Pelodiscus sinensis: one gene and its partner. The protein of the gene in region 2 interacts with the protein of the main gene of each other region in a pairwise test. Links are inferred from orthologs where the notes say so. Each region holds a gene or a part of one and is shown on either strand. Other genes may lie near its edges.

Region 1 (10,980 bases), on a different chromosome or scaffold from region 2:
CCAATGTCAGAAAGGTCAAGTGGGACCTATGCCACAGTACCTAGACTGCAGGAATTGTGTACTGAAACAGGGGTCTGGGCCCCAGGAATGGAACTGACCTTGCCACACCACTTAAATCCTACTGTTTCTACTTAATACAATCCCTTTTATTTACTACCAATCCCAGTGTAAATAATTACCTGAGAGAGCAATTAGTGTGTACATCCTCCTTTCACCATTAAAGGGGGTTTACCTGAATGAGTTCTGATCCTATTTGGAGAGGGGGTTTCCTGGAATCTGTGCTCAAAATTACATTCTCCTCAGACCTGAAGAAGTTCAGTGTCAGTATTGCTCTTTTGTTGGGGGAGGGGAGGGGAAGGGGAAGGGGAGGTGATCTCAGCTCTGTGTTTTGGCTGGAGGAGACCAGGAGATCTGGCCCAGCAGGACAGGGTAATGAGGAGCCCCAAAGAGCAAGGAGAGTGTCAGTGGCTTTGTCAGCATCCCCAAAGGGGTCTTCTGTAACCACACCCCGTCACAAATATATCTAGTGGATCTCCTTTGTCCAAATGCTTGTTGACACTCCCCACCCCTGAGAATTCTAGTAGGTTAGTGAGGCATGATTTTTCCCTTTACAGAAACTAATGTTGACTTTCCCCAATAAAATATGTTAATCTCTGTGTCTGACAATTCCTTTTGAAATGTACAAGAGCCCTGTTGGACTCTTGCTATAATTCAAAGGCGGAGGTGCCCTTATAGACCAATCATTAACCCACTGGGGCTCTTGTACATTTCAAAAGCAGAATCGCAGCAGAAGCAGCGCAAGTGGAGACTGCTTCAGTATCCGCTCATGCCATTTCCCACTGTCTCTCTGTAGGGATAACATATTAATGTATTAAAAATGTGATTCCCCCAAATGGAAGTGACTCCCCATAATTTGTTCTCCACAACTTAAAGTGTTTAGATTTATTAGGATTCTTCTTATTATTATTATTAGTTGTTAAGATTGTTAAATGTTTAGATTTATGATTATTATTGCCCCTTTAGAATATAATGTATTAGGTAATGTAACTTAGAACTGTTAAAAATATAATCCTATGTAACCAGAAACAGCCCCCCCCCCCCCCCCCTCTGTGCTCCAGGGCATGCTCAAGTTTGTGCAAGGGGCTGCTTGAAATTGACATTGCAAAGATACATTGTAACAATGCATTGTCAAACCACTAACTCTGCTATGGGAGCCAAGCCCTGTAATTGACTAAGGGCATTGTTACTTAATTGACGCCTGTTCTCTTTAAAACATTGTAACTTTACTCAGCACTCAGAGAATGTTTTAAGCAATACCACCCAGAAACTTTTTGTAACTACAACTCTGATATATGTAAAGTTATTATTACCAGAAACTTTTTGTAACTACAACTCTGATATATGTAAAGTTATTATTATACAAAAACATTGTATGGGAAACATTAAGGAATGTATGTAAGAGAGAGAGTGCTTGGATGATGAGTGAATGGTTCTAAGAGGTGCCAGCCTGAGAATACAGCAACAAAGGGCTGAAGAAGGCGTCAGGTGCCAGTGCAACCAAAAGGTGTCAAGTGGAGAAACTGGAGGTCCACCCGATGAGCTCACTGATGAGCACCTGGCAGCCACCCTGGAGACATCAGCATGATACAGCAATTTCCATAGACTGGCATAGGAAGAAATTCCTATAAGAACTGGACTAAAAAACTATGGAATCAGAGTCCAAGGTTCTGCTGCCAGCCTACCAGGAGCTTCAGATGCACATCTGATCAGGACTTCGCTCCCCACTACCATCACTTGTGTACAGAGTACCTGGCCAGTATCCTGTCACAAGCAACTTCCAGGCTGGTAACTATACACAGAACTTGAATGAATGGATGTATGAATGAATGGTTATATATATATATATATATATATATATATATATATATATATATATATATATATATATATATATATACACACAAGTGTATAAGGGTTAAGTAGTGATAGGAATAAGTAGTTAAACAACGTTGTTTGCTTCTATCTTTTCTTTATTTTTATTATCTTTACAATAAATGTGGCTTTTTGCCTTATCCCCCTCATAAGATCCTGCTTGCTTTTATTTGGTACAACATCTCTACCTCCCCAACCCTCCCAGAGATGATGCTGGGGGGAGCCAGCTTTTAAGCCAGCTCCCACCAGCACCAGCTCCTGATCTTTCTCTCATACTCACCCCCCCCCCCCATTGCCTCTGATAGAGACAGCAAGGGGGGGAAGTAACTAGTCACATCTCTAGTCGACTCGTTGCTTACATCCCTACTTGTGATATCAATTTTCAAAAAAGGATCTTATTAGCTATCTTCCAGTCATTTGGTACAGAAGCACATTTAAATGTTAGGTTACAAATCACAGTTAGTAGTTCCACATTTCTCATTTGAGTCTTTAGATCTGTTGAGTGAATGCTATCTGGTCCTGGTGACTTGTTACTGGGTAGTTTATCAACTTGTTCTCAAATCTCCTCTAATGACACCTCAATCTGGGACAATTCCTCAGATTTGTCATTTAAAAGAATTTGGGAATCTCCCTAACATCCTTAGCCGTGAAGACCAATGCAAAGAATTCATTTAGGGCATGTCTAGACTATGTTTTGATTTCGAAAGAGGATATGCAAATTCCTTCTGATGACATTTTCGAAACAGGATCTTTCGAAAGTGAAAGTAGTCTGGACGTGTTTTTTTCGGGGAAAAAACCTTTTTCAAAAACTGTGTAAACATCCTTTTTTTAGGAAGAGCGTTTTTTTTCCAAAAAGGTTTTTTTTTTCAAAAAAACACCCCGTATCCAGACTACCTTCACTTTTGAAAGATCCTCTTTCAAAAATGCGATCAGAAAAGGAATTTGTACATCCTCTTTCGAAAAATCTTTGTAGTTTAGACGTAGCCTTAGTTTCTCACAATGACATTATCTTTGAGTGCTCCTTTAGCATCTCGATCATCTAGTGGTCCCACTGGAAGTTTAGAAGTCTTCCTGCTTCTGATGTACTTTTAAAAAGTTGTTATTTTTTAGCTAGTTTTATCAAAGTACTGTACAGGTTTTAGCTGTAAAACATCAAGACATTTGTCTAGACTTTGGAAGAGATTTTATGATGTTTTGGATTTTATTTTAGTGCAATGCTCTGAAGAAAAATATTTTAAGGTAAAAGTAAGAATTTCTGTGTCACTTGCTTGGTGCCTTAAATCCAGAGGGAACATCTAATACTGAGATTTGTATGCTCTTTTGGTGCACTTTTACCACCTCTGCTCCAATGCTCTGATAGTATTTACTATAAATTTATCATGAGTTTTATGGACTTCAAATAATTTTCCACTAGCATGCAATTTGGGGAAATATATCCTTTTTTTCCTCTTGTCTATCTCTGTACTGCAAACAGAAAGCCGGTACTTCCTCCACACCCACTCCCTTTGCCAACAACCTCAATGCAACTTCCTGTCAGTTTCATGTATTCTGTGGTGAACTTCCTCTGAGCAAGAGCTTTATCTGTACACAGGTTAACCATTTGCTTACAAAGTATTTATCATATACATAAGTAATTTATTTGTAATACTTAAGTCTTTAAAAATATTTTATTCAAATGAGAGAGAACACTTGTGACTTTAAGAAAAAAGGCATTTTGATATTTGACAATTTTACACTAATAAATTGGAGGAGAAGGATCAAGAAAGGTCATAGGTCCTTCAACTTCAATAGGTCTCCTGCCCTGTGGCAATAGAAGCTAATGATAAATTGTAAGTGTTGGAAGGCTTAATAAGGTATGTCCAGAATAATATTTTGTATTTATATGACACCAATTATCCAAGGATCTCAGAGCACAAATGTGGGTAAGAATTGGGGATATATGCATTTGTGTTAATGTTAATGTTACATTTTCCCCACAGATTTTTAAAAATAATTTAAAGTTATTTTCTTCATAGGTTGAGACCAGGATTTAAACCAATCTCATGGTTTTAACTAATCTATAACTATTAAAATTAGGCTAAAACCTTGGTGGGGAAACAGATTCCTCCTTATATGTCTATAACCCCTTATATGGGATTTCTTACATTTCTTTTTGAAGAATCTGATGCTTGCCTAGGTTGGAGACACATAGGAAACAAAACTATACAGACCATAATGCTGATCCAGTAGATAGGGCAATTCCTACATTGCTAGACAAAATTCTCCTAGAACTAGCCTTCTATTTCAGTTCCTGACTGATGGCAATACCACAGGAAGACTTCATTTTGTTCCCCAAACTCTGAGGCAGTCTATGACAAGGATACAGATACCAATATGAGATAGTGGGTGAACAACTGACTTGGGGACGAAGTCCCAGCCTGCCCCTGACCACTCTATGCCCACCTGGCGACAGGTCTCTGCCCTGCACCCCAGCCCCACTAGCATGGCTGCTGGCCCCTGCCTAAGGCTAGTGCCTCCCCTCCTCCCCCAGTGCCGGGCAGCTGCACAGCCCCAGTTCTCACACAGCCTCAGACTCTGGAGCAGCCAGATAGCTTTGGTGCTACACTGATCCATAGGGCAGCTGTGTGGCTCAGGCTCCAGCCCCAGGAGCAGTTGGGCAGCCATGCCCCAGCCTTCCTGGCCTGCCAGGAAGCCATATGGCCTCAGCTTTCCCAGCTGGGCATGGATGACAAGTGAATGACTGCTTTAAAGAGGCATGCCCACCTGCTCCCTAAGACCCTGTCCCCATATGCTAGAGCCCTAAAGCCTCTCCCCCTGCCTGTAAAAAGAAAAGCCTTAAGGAGGAGCCTGAAGACCAAAGGATCCTTGGCCTGACCCCAGCCACAATGGGCCAAGCTGCTGCTGCTACTACCCTCCCTCCTAGCCCACCAGACTGAACCTCTGTTCCCCTGCGCACCGGGCTGCACCCAGTGCCTGTTTGCATCCCCTCTCCCTGAGTGCCAGATTGTTCTTAGCATTGGGCCAAGCTGCCAGCAGCCTTTCCAAGTGCCAGCTCCCCCTGCCCTAAAGGTGGACTGTGTGCTAGTTGTCCTGCAGTGGGTTGGTGACAGCACCAGGCAAAGGCATTGCCTTCCTTGGCCTATTACAGCAGCTGTACATGAGCATGGGTGGGACCACCTTGGTCTTTGTGGGAAGGCAATGCCTGCCCTTGCCTACATAAGTTGCCAATGGATGCCATTCATGAGTCATTTGCAATTATGCAAATCCTACTCCCGAATGGGGCAGGCAAGAGGGTAGTACGGTAAGGCCTGAGCCCTCAGAGCATGCTGGCAGTTGCGGCTAACGGAGCAAGTCAGTGAGAACCATTTGGTGTGACATGGTGCATGGGGGGTAAAAATGACTCCATATAAACAAACAAGGTGGGTGAAGAAAGAGCTTTTAGGGGGCCAACGTCTACAGATACTGCAAATGTGGGTCACAAGCAGGTACAAACTAGGGATGTTAAATATCACTTAACTGAATAGTCGACTAACCTTATGAATTCTTATTGGTTAGTTGACTATTCTATAGCCCCCGGGGGTGGGGTCCAGCAGCCAGTGCACCTCACTCCTAAAGAGCCCTCTGCTACTCCGTGCTGCTGCCTCTATATCACAGGCATCAGTGCAGAGTATCAGGCAGGTGTTGGTCTGTGAGGGGAGCCAGTTTAAAAAACAGTTCCTGCTCCTGTCACCCTGTGCTGTTGCTTCTGCTAAAAAGATAGCAGCATAGGGTGGCAGCAGCTCTTGTCTGGGTGGAAGTCTGAGCTCCTGGACCCGTGCAAGTTGGAACTGAGCTGGGCTGTTTGCCGGCCCAGCCCCAATGCACTTTAAATGCAGAGCCACAGCACGGGTAGGTGCCAGACTTGTGGCAAGCTAGGACTGAGCCAGGCTGCTGGCTAGCCTGCTTAAAAATGTACTGAGTAGGGGGAGGGAGCGCGGAGAAATGCAAGTAACTCATCGCATTAACCTCTAAGTTTTTGCTTACAGGTTAATCAGCTACACTATTGCATGCCTAGTACAAAGCACAGGGAGTGAGGCAGTGCAAGAACATCCTCCCCCCTGCGCCTCTTTGCCCTGTTTGCCCGCAACCCTCCATCAGTTCGGCCCCACCCCGGGACCCTGGCAGGGAGACGTGCCTGCCCCTCCCCCCGCCACTACCCGATGCGGGCGGGGAGCGGAAATCGGCCGGAATGGGCGCGAGAGGGGAGAGGTTCTGCGTGAAGCGAGGGCGGGACCGTGCGCAGCGAGGCTGGGGCTCGCGCGTGCGCAGTTTGGAAGCAGGGCGGCGAAGTTACCTCCTCTCCCCCCCACCCCCGCCGCCGCCGGAACGGGGTAGGGGAACCAGAGCGAGGCTCGGCGTGCGGCGTCACGACGACGGCTCCAAGCCTCGCCCAGGCAGCGGCAGCGCGAGAGGGAGCGGGCGTGCGGAGCAGGCTCGGCCGGGCAGGAGGCGACTGGGGGGAGCGGCGGCGGCGGCGGCGCTGTCCGGTAGGCGGAGGTGGCGGGGGAGAGGGCGGCCGGGCCTAGCAGGGGGCCGCTCCAGCCCCGGGCGGGCGGTGGCTGCGGCAGCGGCGTGTGTCTGGCGCAGGTGGCCCCGCGGCAGTGGGAGCGGGGCGGGTGGAGGGGCCGGGGCGGCGGCCCCGCCGGCGGGAAGAGCGCGCGGTGCGGACAGGGGGCCGGTGCCTGAACATGGCGGAGCAGGAACCGAGAGCGGCCGCCGCCTCCTGCGCCCGGCAGCGGGGACACCCGGGCGGCCGGAGTCTGGGGCTTGGCTGCTGCTCGCTCCCCCGCCCCTCGCGCTGGGGGTGCCCGGCGCCCGCCCGCCCGCTCGCCCCGAAGTTGGAGCGGAAGCGGAAAGTTGTAACCCTGCAGCTCTGAGCTGCTCGCCTGGGCCGGCCGGGGTGGGGGTCAGGGGCGGCGGGCGGGCGAGCTGTGAAGAAAAGTTCTCGCTCCCGCGGTGGCAGCTCGCTGTGGGAAGTTGAGTTCAGCCCCACCTAGTCCGGCCGTATCAGCCGCTGCTGCTCACAGTTTCCATCATCCTCCCTCGGCGTGGGAGAGTGTCCACCAGCCTGGCACCATAGGCCTCGTCACTTGTATTGGACTGAGGCGATCCTCCGGCCATGGTGTCGGCCCCCAAAGTCTGGGCATCACGGGTAACGCATTGAGACTGTGCTGGATCTTACCTTGTTACAGGTTCTCTCTTCATGCCAGGAGCTCTTTTTGCTTTAAAACTTGTGGTTTTCTGTGTTTTATATAGTGCCTCAACTGTACTTTGGTCGTGGGGCTAAGAAGGCACGGAACCTGCCCAGAAAGAGCTTGCAATGTAAATAGACAACACTGCAGTCATTTTAATGTTTATGAATCTTCTGGTCCTTGTCCCCACCAGACCTTAAGAAAAGGTCTTAAGTCTGGAAAAAAGGTCTTAAGCCTGTAAGGGGCAATCATGATTATCTAGTTTGAATTTCTACACAATACTGGCTTAAAAACCACACTCAATAACTTCTGCATCAACCCCACAATATTTTAGAAAGATTGCCATGCCACCAGCATGTTGTCAAAATGTTGTCAAAATTTATGCTGCAGAAGAATATAATTAGGCTTTGCTAGGGTTGCCAGGTGTCCAGTTTTAAACCGCACAATCCAGTATTTGTGCTTTCTGTTTGGGAAACAAATTTAGAAAATATAAATGTTTTCTAAATAAGATGTAATGTAATGTCAAGTGTGTCCGGTATTTTTGTTGAAACCATCTAGGCTTCTCAGGAAGTGATGATTATACTGTATTCCAAATTGACAAAGTGGACTATGCAACATTTACTGAAATGTTGATGTTCTTTGACTTTTTTAAATGAATGGCTAATAAATGCTATTTAGAAAATATGACTCTTCATTTTGAAAAGAGTTTCTATATTGTGGTATAAGTGTGTAACTTTATGTGGCTTCAAAAAAGACGATTTAGACAACATCATAAACCAAGCGTTTTAGTGGATTTTGGACACACATCTGGAAGTTTTGATGACACATTGAATTAAATCTAGCAACCAGTTCTTGTATATGTGGGGCCACATAATAGGTGTGTGTTAAAATAGTCAGACAAAGCTAATGGAATTGATGTTTTCCAAGGCTCTTTCATAGCATGTACACAAATTCCAAGGTTTTTTTTTTGAGTAAACACTTCTGAGTTTCAGCTATGCTTTTTGACCAGAGGTGGGCAAGATGTGGGCTGAATCCAACTTGTGGGCTTCGCACTGGGATCCTGGGGCGCAAAGCAGCTCCACACCACTTTAAGCCCCTATTGCTTGGTCAGTAGGAGCTAAGAAATTGTGGTGGGGGTAGTGGCAACGTGCAAAGCCACTTCATCCTCCTCTCCTCGCTCTGCCTGAAGCAGAGCGTCATGGGGAGTGTCCAGCCATTTTGAGCAGCATAGGGCTGCAGCAGATAGGGTGCCTGCCTTGGGGTCCTGCAGGGCTGCTGGCAGGGAGCCCTCTAGGTAAGCAGCTACCTGCTGGAGCCTGCTTCTGCCATTCTACTCCCTCCTATACCCCAACTTCCTGTCCCAGGTCACCACCCATACCCTCTGCACCCCCCTCCTCCAGGTCAACTCCCTCCCAGACTCTGTACTCCAAGCCAGAATCCTCTTCTGCACCCATTCTCTCTCCCTGACCCAACACACCATTCATCTGCCCCTGATTGCAATCTCCTCCTTCACTCAAACTTCCTCTCAGACCCCACACTTTCCTGCATCCCAGTCCCCTACCCCTAGCTCTCTTCTGTATCCAACCTCTCAGACTCTGCACCACATCCATAGAAAAGTGCAGTCCTTGGCCACTTACCAGATCTTGGAGTGGGCCCTCCATGAACAATTATTGCTCACTCCTGTTCCTGACTGCCCTACTTATTTTTACCAACTTATGTCGTGTACTGCACAATAACTAGTCAAATGAGACAGTTATATTTCTTAATACAAGGTCACACATTGACACTGGAATGGACTTTTCTATCTTTGGTAAACTTAAAACATCTTAATGCCCAGTTTAAAAGTTTTTGACTTATACATTTTAGATGGAAACCTAAGTAAAGTGCTGAATTCAGTGCTTCTAAATGTTTTTCACTTATTTTGCTCAGGATTCTAGTTTTTTTTTCTCTGTCAATTGCCAGTAGCCTACAACGGGCAGCCTGCAGGCTAGATCTGTCCTGCTGTAGTCCAGCGGGACCCTCAGACAGGCTCCCTTCCTGTTATAGACCCACATGTTGCTCAAAGCAACTTTGAGGAGCACCCTTTGTGTGGAGGAGGTGCTCCAACGCCTTGCCCACACACGCCATCCTAATAGTCTCCCATTGACTACCAGTTTTCATGGTTTTATGTTTCTATATTGTTCACATATTAGTTGACTCCATTGTTATAAAAAAAGACCCAACAAAAGGGTAAAGTGACTATACAGAGGGTATGATGAAATTGATTATCACAGAGTGCTATAAAATGTTCAGAAGGTAAACAAAACTCTTCTTTTAGGCGTGGTAATCTTGTTAGTGTTAATCTGAGTGGGTACTGACAACAGTAGTGTCCCAGTTACAGGCATCTTGGGAGTGGAGGTGACTTGTAACTCTGAAATGCTCACAACTCTGAACAAAACATCTTGACTGTTTTTTTCAAAAGTTTACAGCTTAACATTGATGTGATAGTCTTTGTAACTATTATGTAGAAGAAATTGCTGATTTTAATCATAATTTGAACAAAAACAAGCACATAAATGGTTTCCTTACTTTGTCAAATCCTTTATATGTACCAGTAATGTATAGTGTGTTTTTTTTTTTGTCTGCTGCTTGATTGTGTTCTTTTGGTTCCAAATGGAGGTGTGTGGTTGACCAGTCTGTTTTGTAACTCAGGTATATTTAACTCTGAGGTTCTACTGTACTATTGCCATGTGGGATGTATACATACTACCTTATTTTAAACCCCCATTATTAGGACAATTCAAGACCTGGAGTAAAATTTAGCCAGTATGAGCCAATTTCTGTTTTGTGCTGTTGGAGAAAATGTTGGTATCAAGTAAAGTGGACTACTGTTTCAGTTTTGTTTGAGATTTGCTGGAATAGCAGCACAGGTATTAATCTAGGAGCGAATAAGCCCACAAAAAGGAAAATAAAAAATCTTGAGAGGTTTGAAAGAGAAGAAAGTTAAACTTCAGTACTCTAATAGTCTAACAGCTAGTTCTGTAATCAGAATCAACTAAAACAACTAACTCAACAATCTCTCCCCCCCGCCCCCATTCTTCCTTGTAGACAAAAATGGCATTCTCTCCCCCCCGCCCCCATTCTTCCTTGTAGACAAAAATGGCATTAAAGCACAATTCAGAATAGTGGTGCCCAATTTTATTACATGTGGGGGGCTAGAGATGTAATAGTGTCAGTTAACCCCTGATAAGCAAAAGTTTATAGGTTAATGCTATAGATTACATGCATTTCCCCCTCTCCTCCCGCCAACAAATTTTTTAGCAGGCTGGCCAGCTGCCCAGCTCAGTTGTGGCTTGTGACGTAAGGGGAGTTGTTTTTTAAACAGGCTCCCCTCATGGACCCGCTCTCGCCTGGCACCCTGTGCTGCTGCCTCTGATATAGAGGCAGCAGCACAGAATGGCAGGGGGCTTCTTGGGAGTAAGGCCGGAGCGCACTGGTTGCCATCCCTGCCCCAGGGACTATTGAATAGTTGACTAACCAATAAGAATTTGAGGTTACTTGACTAATCAATGAACCAATATTTAACATCCCTAAAAGGAGCCACATAAGCCCTGCCTTGGGTAGACCAGTGTTTTTCAAACTGCTTAGGCTCTGCGAGGTTGACAAACTGAAAACATGGATAGGTACAATGCATACAATCAGTGGACTGCTGGGGCTCCGCATAAATTTTTACGCATGTAAAGGGCTCCGGCGCTCAAAGTTGAGAACCGCTGGTCTAGAAACATTTTACATCTTTGAATAAGATTTAAGGTCACCTGTGGATTTTTTTTTTTTAATT
Region 2 (10,955 bases):
ACCCACACACACACCCACACCCACACACACACACACCCCCGCCCCGCCCGGGAGCCAGGTTGCACCTTTTGGTAGGGTGCCAGCAGGTAGAGATCCTCATCCAGGAAATGCCAGTGATGATTGCCCTATGAACTGTAGGAGACTACCACACTCAGAGGAGAGCCCTTTGCGGGCAGGTTCTCTGCTCCTGCAACCTAGCATGAGTAGTATCCTTCCTGACATGGGAATCTATCTATTGACTTTGATTTTTATCTGCTTAGGTTTAAGTACCCATTCTCCAGATACTTAATGATGCGCTGTCTCCCACTCTCCTTCCTCTCCCCCCCCACCTTCCCCTTTCCTATTTATTTCGAGTGTTCACATCTTAAACTCATAACTCCAGTCATCTGAAGACGTGGGCTGTGCCCACGAAAGCTCATGATACCAGCTACATGTTTTGTTAGTCTATAAAGTGCTACTAGACCATTTGTTGTTTTTCTCTGTAACAGACTAACTCGGCTACCCCCTGAAGCTTCCCCACAACGTAAGGGGATGCAGTCTGTGAGTCTGACAGCATCTGAATGGAGGCATCAGGATGATGCCTTGGAAATAGCACAAGCTCCATAGGCATCAGCAGGAGATCAGCTGAGGCCACGAGGAGGAGAATATGCACTTAACCTCATGGACAGCTTTTCACGAATCCCTGTCACGAGCACTGATCCCATGTTGGATTTTGAATCTGTAGAAAGCAGTGCAACTCCACTGAAGTCAATGAAGCTGTGCACACTGCATAGAAAAGGATTGCATCAGGGATGCATAAAAGCCTAGTCTGGAAAACAAAGTGCTTTTTTATATTAACACATAGGCACTGGTTTAACCGTTTGCCATTCTCCAGTTGTTTTGTCACAACAAAACACTGAACTACAAATAGGCTCTTAAACGATACAATCACAGTAACAACGCTGTCCAAGCATGGTCCTTCTGACAAGTATCAGTGTTAGCCTGAATCTGCAAATACAATGAGAAGTCCTGTGGCACTTTATAGACTAACAGATTAATTGGAGCATAAGCGTTCGTGGGCAAAGACCTACTTTGTTGGGTCCTTCTGAAGTGCTCACAGCCATTTTCTAATTCATTTCACAACACCCATCTTAGTGGTGTATTCCCCATGTTGTAAATGGGGAAACTGAGGCACAGAGAGGGGAAGTGACTTGTCAGTTCCCACACAGGGAGGGGGTGGCAGAGTCAGAATAGAACTCAAGAATCCTAATGGCTTGTCTATTGGCTCTAACCACTAGACGCCTCTTTCCTCCAATCAACAAAAAGGAGAAGCACGGAGAAGCCCCAGAAAGACAACCCAGCAGTCCTTCAAATATTTTATTGAGGGCGGTGAGGGGGGCAGCAATCACACCAAATATCCAAGCAGGGGCCTCTGTCTATGTTTTTGCCATAAGACTGCCAGCAGGGGGTGATGCAAGTCAGCTCTGTTCCTACACAACACGGCCAATCTCCCCTTCTCAGATCCCACTGGAAGTCCTGGGGTCCTGCCAAACTTCTGAACCCAGAGACCTGGGCCAGAGTGTACGGGGGCTTCAGTACGCGCAACAACTTTTCCACCACAAGAAGTGCCATGAGTAGAATGGCGTCCCTCCCCACCCCCATATCCTTGCGCTGAATGCTCTCCCAGCCAAGAGCCAGGCCCCACGAGCGAGCGCAGGGGGATCTACAAGGCTGGACTTCCTGCCAGACATAACAAGAAGCAGATGATGTGCTCTAAACAATGTCGCTACGCCCACCCCCGAGAGAGGAGAAGGGGGAGGGAAGAAAACAGACTCAATGGTGATTTTTTTTTTTTTTTTTTTACAGAGTTGATGGGGACGATCCCTGGAGTACCTGCCATGGGGTGAGAGGACCAGACAAACCAGGTGTGGGATGACACAATCAATACCACAAGAATCCTCTTTCCTATCTGGGATTTTGAGAGATCAGGGCTCTACATGGGCTCCACTTGGGCAGGGACATGTGTAAGGAAGTTGCCTCTACCACCGAGCCTGGCTGTTAATCACAGTGCTATCTATTCTGCCCTGTAACTCACTTAAATCTTGTCTTCCCTCCCTTCCTAGCTACTTACACAGTGACCCCAGAGGTTTTAGTGGTGACCCTCTCTCCAGCAAGACAGATCCAGGACTGGATAAGCATGGTGGCTGTAAGTCCTAATGGAAATGGATCTTGTTCTGGTTTAAACCTCTTCTTCACCTCGGGAGCACAGGTGCATGCTTTAACTTCCTCTATCCAACCAATGGACAGAACCAGACAAAACGAACGAGCCAGCTGTGAAACGCAGCATTAGTTATCCAGGGATGGGTGGAAGTTTCCTGAACACATACACCACCTTGCACCAAAGTCACTATCCTAGCAGGTGAAGGGCACAATGCTCTTTTTGACCCAGAGAACTGAGAAGCAGTAGATGGGTATAGACCTGGCTTGCTGAGACATACCAAGAGATGCTTTGTGGGTCTCCAACATTGACCTGAGCACCTCATGTTCCCTTACTTATGCTATGCTGGGCTATGCAATCTCCCTTCCCTGAACTGCTCATTCGATTAGGGTTCCCCACGTTTTCCCAACTCCTTGCTGGCAAAAAGCAGGCTGCTTTGTGTGCCACTCATCCCCCTAGAAGGACAGCCGCAATTCCAACCAGCAAACCCGTGATCTGAAGCCAGCAAGAGCCACAGAGGGCCAGTGCGTCCTAGAAAGATCCAGGGTCGTGCCTTAGACTTAGAGTATGGCTGTTTTTCATCCTCCATTGAGTGTCTTACAAGCCAATCCCCACAGCGGGGGAGGATATTGCTTGGGTCCTTTTTTTGCAACTTGGGCAGGCCCGAAGCCTTCACAGGCAGCTAGAGTCTGAGCAGACGGTACAGCAAGCCTCCAGCAGGATGCCAGACTCTCAAATAAAATATTTAAAAGGCCCTGGTTCTAGCTCTCTGCTCCCTTCTGCTAGCTGCATCAGATGGCGCGCATCTCTCTGCTTTCTCCTAATAGATATTCCAGCTTGGCAGCAAGCCTGCCAGAAAGATAATGGCATAAGAGGGGAGTAAAGAGATCACAGAGGGCAGCTATTTACCATTCTGACATAAAAGCAAAAAGAACTGCCAGAATATTTTCGACTGTGCTCCTCTCCTTCCGGAGCAGCCTGCACCATATGCTTCAGTTTCCCGGTCCATGCCAGGGCTCAGCTTCTGGGCATCAGATGCACAACATAAACCAGCATCAGAAACCTGTTGGGCAGAGACCGTACAAACTCCTACCACCTGCAAACCAGCCTGGGGGACCCTATGCTGAGAAAAGGCAGCATGCCCATGCCCCGTGGTTACAGTGAGTAAAATGACACCACACACTCAATGATCACCTGCAACATAAATCAGCTAAGACCCCCCCTTCCTCCCAGTGTTTTAGCCATATGTCAACAACCCAAAAGCACCAAATCCAAGGGGAATCTGACCTCCATAAAGAGGGGGTCGCTTAGAGAAGAATGAAACACGAAGCCTGCACACAAATTGTGGGGCAGGGGCTCACACTGTCCAAACCAGCCTAATCAAGAGGCAGGCGGGCCACAGCCCCACCACCATGTGCTTTCGAACAGACCCCGAAATCTTTTGATTGACTTACAATTACTGGGGGGCCGAGGGGGGTTGTTTTTATTGTGTCTGGCCCTTGGCTATACCTTGCCCAGCACATTTGGACCTTGGCAAAGCGATGCCCGCTCTAGACTCAGCGGCTCCGCCAGACAGCTCCGCTGAGACCCAGCAGCTCACTGCACCAGTGATGTTCACCCACCCACGCACCCTGAGGCTCGCCCGGGGCCAGGTTCCGGCGCCGCCTCACCTCCAGCGGCGGCAGGTCGGGGTCGAGCTGGGTGAAGCTGTGCAGCACCACGGGGCTGCTGCTCTCGCCGGCCACCTCCAGCCTCACGCCGTCCCAGAGGCTCCTCGTCCGCCGCGAGCTCTCGAACATGTTCTCCGGGCTGCCCGCCTCGGCATGGCGCCGCTCCGCCCGCGCTCGGTTCACCATGGGAAGGCGCCGGGACGCGAGCCCCCCATGCGGACCCGGCGCGGCGCGGCTCTGCCTCGCTCCCCAGCCGCCGCGGCGTCCGCGCTCCTGGCTGCGCGCAGCGGGTTTGTCAAGCCCCGGGCAGCCCGCTCCCACCCACGCCGGGGAGCCGCGCTGCTGCGCCGGGAGCCGGCAAAGCCAGGCGCTGGACTGGCAGGGGAAGGGCAGCCGGAGCCGCGCTGACACTCCGGCAGGGGGCGGGGAAGGGAGGCGAGAGCTACACAGCGCCACGCCGGGGAGGTGGAGCGCGCGGCTCTCCAAAGCGCCGCTGTCAGGATCTCGCCCTCCCGGCTGCGGCACCCTCGGAAGCAGGGCCCTGGAGGGAGTCAGGCCCTTCCATGGGAGAGCTCGGCTCCCTGCGAAACCTGGCGGCAGCTCTTGAAAACCAGCCCCTCCAGCGGCAGGGAGCTCGAAATGGCAGAAACACACAGCCGCCTGCGCACAGCCAGAGGCAGGGCTGGTCTGCAACAGAAAAGCGCCCCCCTCGCCCCCGTCACTCAATTTATTTCAGTCCCAGAGGGGGCAGCCCTGCTAGTCTGTCTGTCAAAACAAGGAGGAGTCCTGTGGCATCTTAGAGACGAACCAAACTTGGGTTGGTAAAAACCACTTCGATGCCTGACCGTGATTTTTAGCCACAAAAGTGTATGTTCAGATACAGCTGTTAGTCTTTAAGGCTTCACAAGACTCTTCCTTGTTTAATCTATTTAAAATCAATCTAGTCCCAGCCGTACCAATCAGATAGATTCAGCCCCCCCCTCCCCCCCCCCCATGCCTGGCTGAAGCTGATTTAATTTAGGTTGGTAAATTATCAAATCAAATCAAGAAAACCAAGAAGATAAACTCCATAGAGCGGGGATTGTCTGTTGTCCATGTGCTTGTACAGGACCTAGCACAAGGAGGGTGGTGGTCTGCACCACCCAAGCTGAATAATAATAATAATTCTGTTTCTGAATACGCCTAAGTTTGATTTAGTTACATCACTGCCAGCTTTGTGCTACAGACGAGACTGCAGAGAGATTAACCCTTAGACAGCACCTTGTATGTTCAAAACACTGAATAGTCACATCTCTCCCTATAGTCCCTGCTTTGACCCGTGAAACTCCCATCTCTTTGCTGAAAAAGCTCCTGTCCCAAAGGGCTGGCTGGGCTTGGTCCCCATTCTGGGCATTGCAACCTGGTCCCTGGTGCCCAGGGTTTCAGTGCTGCGTAGGGAGCTGGGCACAGCCAGGCCCACAGGACAGCTGCTGAGAGGTGAATCCAGGACAGACCCACTGGGGCAGCGGATGACACACACACACACACGCCTTCCACCCCCAGGGGCCAAACATGTCCCACTTTGGCCACTGGAAATGCTGGGAGGCATACAATCTAACTACACACAGCTGCCCACCTATGAAGCAGGTCTTGGTCAGTACCATCATGTTCAGAAGAGGAAGGTGAGATACAAGGAGCTGAAGTAAATAGCCCAAGACCTCCCAGCAAACTAGTAACAGGACTGGGGCTTGCTTGGATCCTGCATGGCCATTCCTAGGGTCCCCCCTGCGCGCAGAAGGCCTGAGATCAAGGAGCTAAAGTGAAGACTCCCATGTAAAGGGGTTTACAGCAGAGCTGAATTTGGCTCAGTACAAGATTCACAGTGCCTGAGCCGGGAGGGGGTTGGAGCCTTCAAACAAGGGACGCTGAATCCACATATTGTAACTATTATAAGTACAAAGGGAACCAGGAAAAACAGTTCATTAGCTGTCACGGCTGCTAAAAGGTGCAATCCTGCAAACATGGAATTCTAATCCCAAATGGACTTTCATGTCTCAGTTTTCTGAACAGCTGAAAGAATATTAAACTCTCTGTGTATTAAAACCTCACAACTATATTCACTACAAGAACATCATGATGCATTCAATGCATCCCGCTGCATTTTTAGATGAGCACATCTGCAGTTGGAAGTTTCAGCCAGGATGATGGGTAAAGAAAGGGTTAAGAAAGCCAAGACTAAAGGGATAATGATTCAACTTATAAGTTAACAGCCCCCTGTGCTAAGTGAGAGTAATCCACGCTATTGTCCCACTCTATCTGCAGACTCAAAAGGGACAATGGTGTATCAGTTGACACTCTGAAAGATGTTCAGCCCAGACACTGGAGAGCTAGAAATTTTTCCTTGTTTTCTTCCAATGTAGGAACTTCAACAAAGCAGAGTTTGCAGGAAACCAGCAGAGAACCTGAATCTACAATCAGTACACTTTTCCTCCTTTCTGTTTTTGAACAAAATCCTGCCAACATCTGGAAGCTATAAATAGGAGCACATGGGGAGATGAATAGGGGCACTCCTTTGAAACTGGCTGATTGGGTATTTTTATAGGGACTCAGCAAAAAAAAAAAAAAAAAAAAAAAAAAAGATTTTGTTTAACACGTAGAAAGTATACTGTACTTCCTAAATAGTGAGAGTTGGCAATCCATGTGTGTGACTGCTAAATTTGTCCATGGCTCTAACTGCCCTTCACCCTCAAAGGGTTCCCTGATAAATAGCCTGTGTGCAGTATGCCTCACTCAGTCTTGACTCTTTCTTCCTTTCTTCCCTCGCACCTCCATGAGGGGGAGGGGACTCTAGGTTATTCAGCAAGTTCCCTTATGCTGGGAATATTCTTGTTAGGGAGATCCTCTCTTTGGCTCTAAGGTTGCTCTGGCAACAAAGACCTGGAACTCTAGTTTCTGTTCTTGGCTCATTGTGCGACCTTGGTCAAGTCACTTAACCCTTTCCGTGACTCAGTTTCCCCATCTTTAAAACAGAGCTAAAAACACTCTCATTGAACAGGGCGGCAGAAAAGCTAACTTTCAAAGGTCTGTCAGGTGCTTGGACAGTATTGTGAGACATGCTGGCATCATGAGATGGAATAAATGTGGCACTTTGCTTAGCGCTCACTGCATTTGGAGTCACAACTTAATTATACAAGGAAACACACATCATTTTACTTTGGTTGCACAGCACTAGGTTGTGGACACAGCTACTGCTGCTCACTGGTGGCGGTTTAATTATGTTGATGGGACAGTTCTCTCCCGTCGGCATAGAAGAGCTATATGAGAGCTCTTACAGCTGTGCAGCTGAATTGTACAGATGTGCTGCGATAAACTCTCTAGTGCAGACACCCTTAGGCTACATATAGACAGTGGGGCTATTTTGGGATCCCAGAAGTATCCCAAAACAGCTATTCCGCATCTTTAAAACATGCCCATTATTTCAAAATATTTGGCACAAGGGTTAAGGAACTTATTGGAATAGCACTTTATTTAAAAATTTGGCGCTGTGTAGAAATAAGCTATTTCCAAACTACCTCGAAATAAGCGATGCAATTCGCATAATGCAAATTGCATCGCTTATTTCGAGGAAAGGGTGCTGTGTAGACACACCCTTAGTTCTTTGGGGCAGAAACTGCCATTTTGATCTGTGTTTGTACAGCATCTAGCACATAATCACTTTCTGTTAGTAGATCCCTGCCCTACGCACCAGCCTCCAATTCAACTGTGTCTGACCTTTACTAAAATATGCAGCGCCATTAGATGACTAATTTTTGCTGGTCCCTTGGTTGGCCACTAAATACAGTTTCCCTAGAATAATACTAATGATAATGGGTAATAAATAATACATGACAGGAAATAAACTACAAACTATAAACTTTAAAAATAGCTGGACGGTTTCCTCTCTGTTCTCCTAGGATCTTTCTGGGCCTGAAAAGCAAAACACTCAAACTACACTCACTAGCCACATCACAGAACAGTTTCTCAGTTCTGCCATCCCCAAGCCTTCAACAGTCATGAACTAGCCCTTCCAAAATCATGAGATTATTCAAATGTTTCATGATTTTTAAACCAGTCAAGGGTTCTTTCCTTCCTACTTTTGACCGTGTAAGTTGCACTCACATCATATTTTCAATTCTTTCTCTGTAACTATGAGGGCTAGAAATGTACATCTTAAAAAAAAAGTGAGGTTTTCATATGACTTCAGGAGCTGGTGCTTTAGGGAAAACATCAAACATGACACTTGTGCTAAAATGGCAAGGCGGGTTTCTCCTCATCCCCTGCAAAAAGTTTTACAGAATGTTGAGTGCTTTGTGCTCCCACTGACATCCTTCTGTGCTAAAGCTCCTATTAACTAACATGGGACTAGAATTAAGCCAATGAGTAGGAATGGAACAGGATAAAAAAATCTCTCCTTTTATTCCCTCTCTAATCAGTGCTGGAACCAAGTTATGGTCTCCTGTCAATAGGCTTAGTTTCAACTCTTCCTCTTGTCCAACTGGGTAATACAATAAAATGTATTGTACATGTGTACGCCATCTCTCTTTGTAGCTGTGGCTGTGTGTAACAGCTCTCCTCCTCCTCTCTCGCTTTCACTTGCTATCAGTTTCTATTTTCCCTTCCTGCCTGCCTTGTGCCTTTGCTTTTCCCTTTGGTTATTAGTCCCTCCATCCCTCCCCCCTTCCTGCCACTGTCCTCCCCTTTCTCTGCTAATTTATCCCCCCAAATCTGCGCCCCACCATACCATCACACCTTACACAAACACACACAGGCACACACACACACAAGCGCACGCGCACGCATTCCCTGCACCTCTCTCTACTTCCTCTAATACTCCCAGTTCTTATTCCACCTCACACAGTCTGTCTTTAACTTCAGGTTTCTGCATTTCCTTTCTCCTGTAGTATCTCGTCCCCCAGGCCTATTCCTCAGCGTCACTTTCCTCATGTTCCCCCTTACAGAATTCTCCACCTCCATCACATTCCTAGATATGGCCTATCTGTATAGACCAGGATCTGCAGGGCTCCGGGCTGGCTTCATATGGGCTATTACTAGGTTGGATATTAGGAAAAACCATTTCACTAGGAGGGTGGGGAAACACTGGGATGGGTTTCCGAGGGAGGTGGTGGAATCTCCACCTCTAGAGGTTTTTAAGTTCTGGCTTGACAAAGCCCTGGCTGGGATGATTTAGTTGGGGTTAGTCCTGCTTTGTGCAGGGTTTGAACTCGATGACCCCGAAGTCTCTTCCAACCCTAGGATTCTATGATTGTACCGCCTCTCTCTAATTTGTTAGGGAGTTCACTTTCTCTACTGATAGTGCTGTCAACATCCCCCCACAGGGGAAAGAGATGCTGAAAGGGTTGGTAAGAGGTGCAAAGCTGATCTAGGTTGCTAGCATTAGCATTGATCAGCAACACCACAATTGCTTTGCAAAAAATGTTAATCTCTATGTGATTTCTGAGCATGTATCACCATCTCCATTTTACAGATGGGGAAACTGAGTCAGACCCAGCAGCCACTTTCCAAGCCAGGCCTCTGGATCACACTCTGCCTCCGTCCACCTTTTGACCCCTGCTTCTTCGAAGTGCTAGCCAGAGTAACCTCACCCTTTGTACAGAACAATCAGCAAGACGGGGCTGCCTGGCGTAAGAAGGAATTTACATTAAACACACCAATGTGTTTACAGCCAAACACTCAAAGAACAAAACCCAGCCCAGAGAGAACGAGAGTTCAAATCCCACAGAGACAATTTTAATCACCTCCTGCACCTCTGAGCCCCAGGCTTTGTCTGTGCCTGTGATCTAGTAGATATTCCAACACTGCACTACTGGCCCATCTCGCCTTCAGGACGGCATCAGTGTTTCTGTTCTAATTCCCGGGTGCCAGGCCTCATGCTGGCTGGAGTGGCAGCATTTGGGGAGTTTATTTGAAAATTCAGGATTCAGAGTTCCCTCTCCACAGATAGTACTTGCCCATTTAGCAATTTATTCCACAAAGGTAAGGAAACCAGGTGATTGCCAAACCTCTGAAAGTAACTCCCTGGCTGTTATCCCAGTGCTTTATCCATAGTCATTTAAGAGCCCCCTCTTTTCTGTGGTTTGCATTCTCCACTGCTGACTAACTTTCAATGTGCCACAGTAGGGGAAGAATGTCTAGTGGTTACAATGCAGGGGAGGGTATCAAGAGAGCAGGGCTTTATTCTCGACATCGCCATTGATTCACTGAGTGACCTTTGGCAAGTTCTTTATATGGTCTGTGCCTCGATGACCCCTTCTGTAAAACGGGGGTGTAAATATTGAGAACATGGGAAGAGAGGCTAAGGCTACATGAATTAACGGCTTCAAGTTGCTCTGAGAAAGAAGGTGCCAAACACACACAAATAATGATTATGTGGCGAGTGTCTGCTACTTTGAAACTCATGTGTGGCCTCCTCTCCTCCCCACCCTGGGAGTTGCATAAACTCTACTCCAGTGGCCCCCAGATCCTCCAACAGACTGCCCCAATGTGCAGGGTGGGATCTCACAGCACCATGGTACAGCAGAGTGATCTGAGAATGGGATCACACAGCCTTCACTTGGTACAGCTCAGCCCCTCTTAGTTTATATTATGGATGATTAATGTTTGAACTGTCCTTGCCTGCATAGTCTTCTCAAGTCCAGTATAACTCTATTGGTGGCCCTTTGCCTTTTGCTTTGCTGTCTTTGCAGAACGAAAGAAAAGGGGGGTGGAGGGTAGTGTCACAGCGAAAACAGCACAGCTGTGTCACAATCCCGGGATGGCAGGTTTAACAATTCTTCAAGAGGCCAAGCGTTTCTCTGTCTGAACTTCAGAATGAAACCGTTGCAGCTGGAACAAGGCAGCAATCTACCCATGGGGAGTTACAATATATGGAGGATAGTGATAGAAATGTAGCAGTGTTAGTCTGGTGTAGCTGAAACAAAAAACAGGACTAAAAAAGGGGAAGAGAAGAGGAATCTGAACTGTCATTCATGCTTAAAGTTGACACTTTACACCTAAGCTTAAACAAAGACATCAATTATCTTACCCATTACAAAGATAGCTTCCCTCTAATT

The links.
Region 1: the proteins of RALGDS (region 2) and RAP1B interact in binary tests that used the Homo sapiens proteins (3 or more experiments, as listed by UniProt). The link is inferred for Pelodiscus sinensis from reciprocal best matches to the Homo sapiens genes RALGDS and RAP1B.

The regions. Positions count from the first base shown.
Region 1 is NC_134711.1:63,350,449-63,361,428, forward strand, and holds the start of RAP1B (ras-related protein Rap-1b), read left to right. Parts: upstream 1-6,281; 5' UTR 6,282-6,458; intron 6,459-7,227; exon of another isoform or gene 7,228-7,293; intron 7,294-10,980. UniProt on the Homo sapiens protein: GTP-binding protein that possesses intrinsic GTPase activity. Contributes to the polarizing activity of KRIT1 and CDH5 in the establishment and maintenance of correct endothelial cell polarity and vascular lumen.
Region 2 is NC_134732.1:15,950,350-15,961,304, forward strand, and holds the start of RALGDS (ral guanine nucleotide dissociation stimulator), read right to left. Parts: upstream 4,568-10,955; 5' UTR 4,054-4,567; coding exon 3,868-4,053; intron 1-3,867. UniProt on the Homo sapiens protein: Functions as a guanine nucleotide exchange factor (GEF) activating either RalA or RalB GTPases and plays an important role in intracellular transport. Interacts and acts as an effector molecule for R-Ras, H-Ras, K-Ras, and Rap.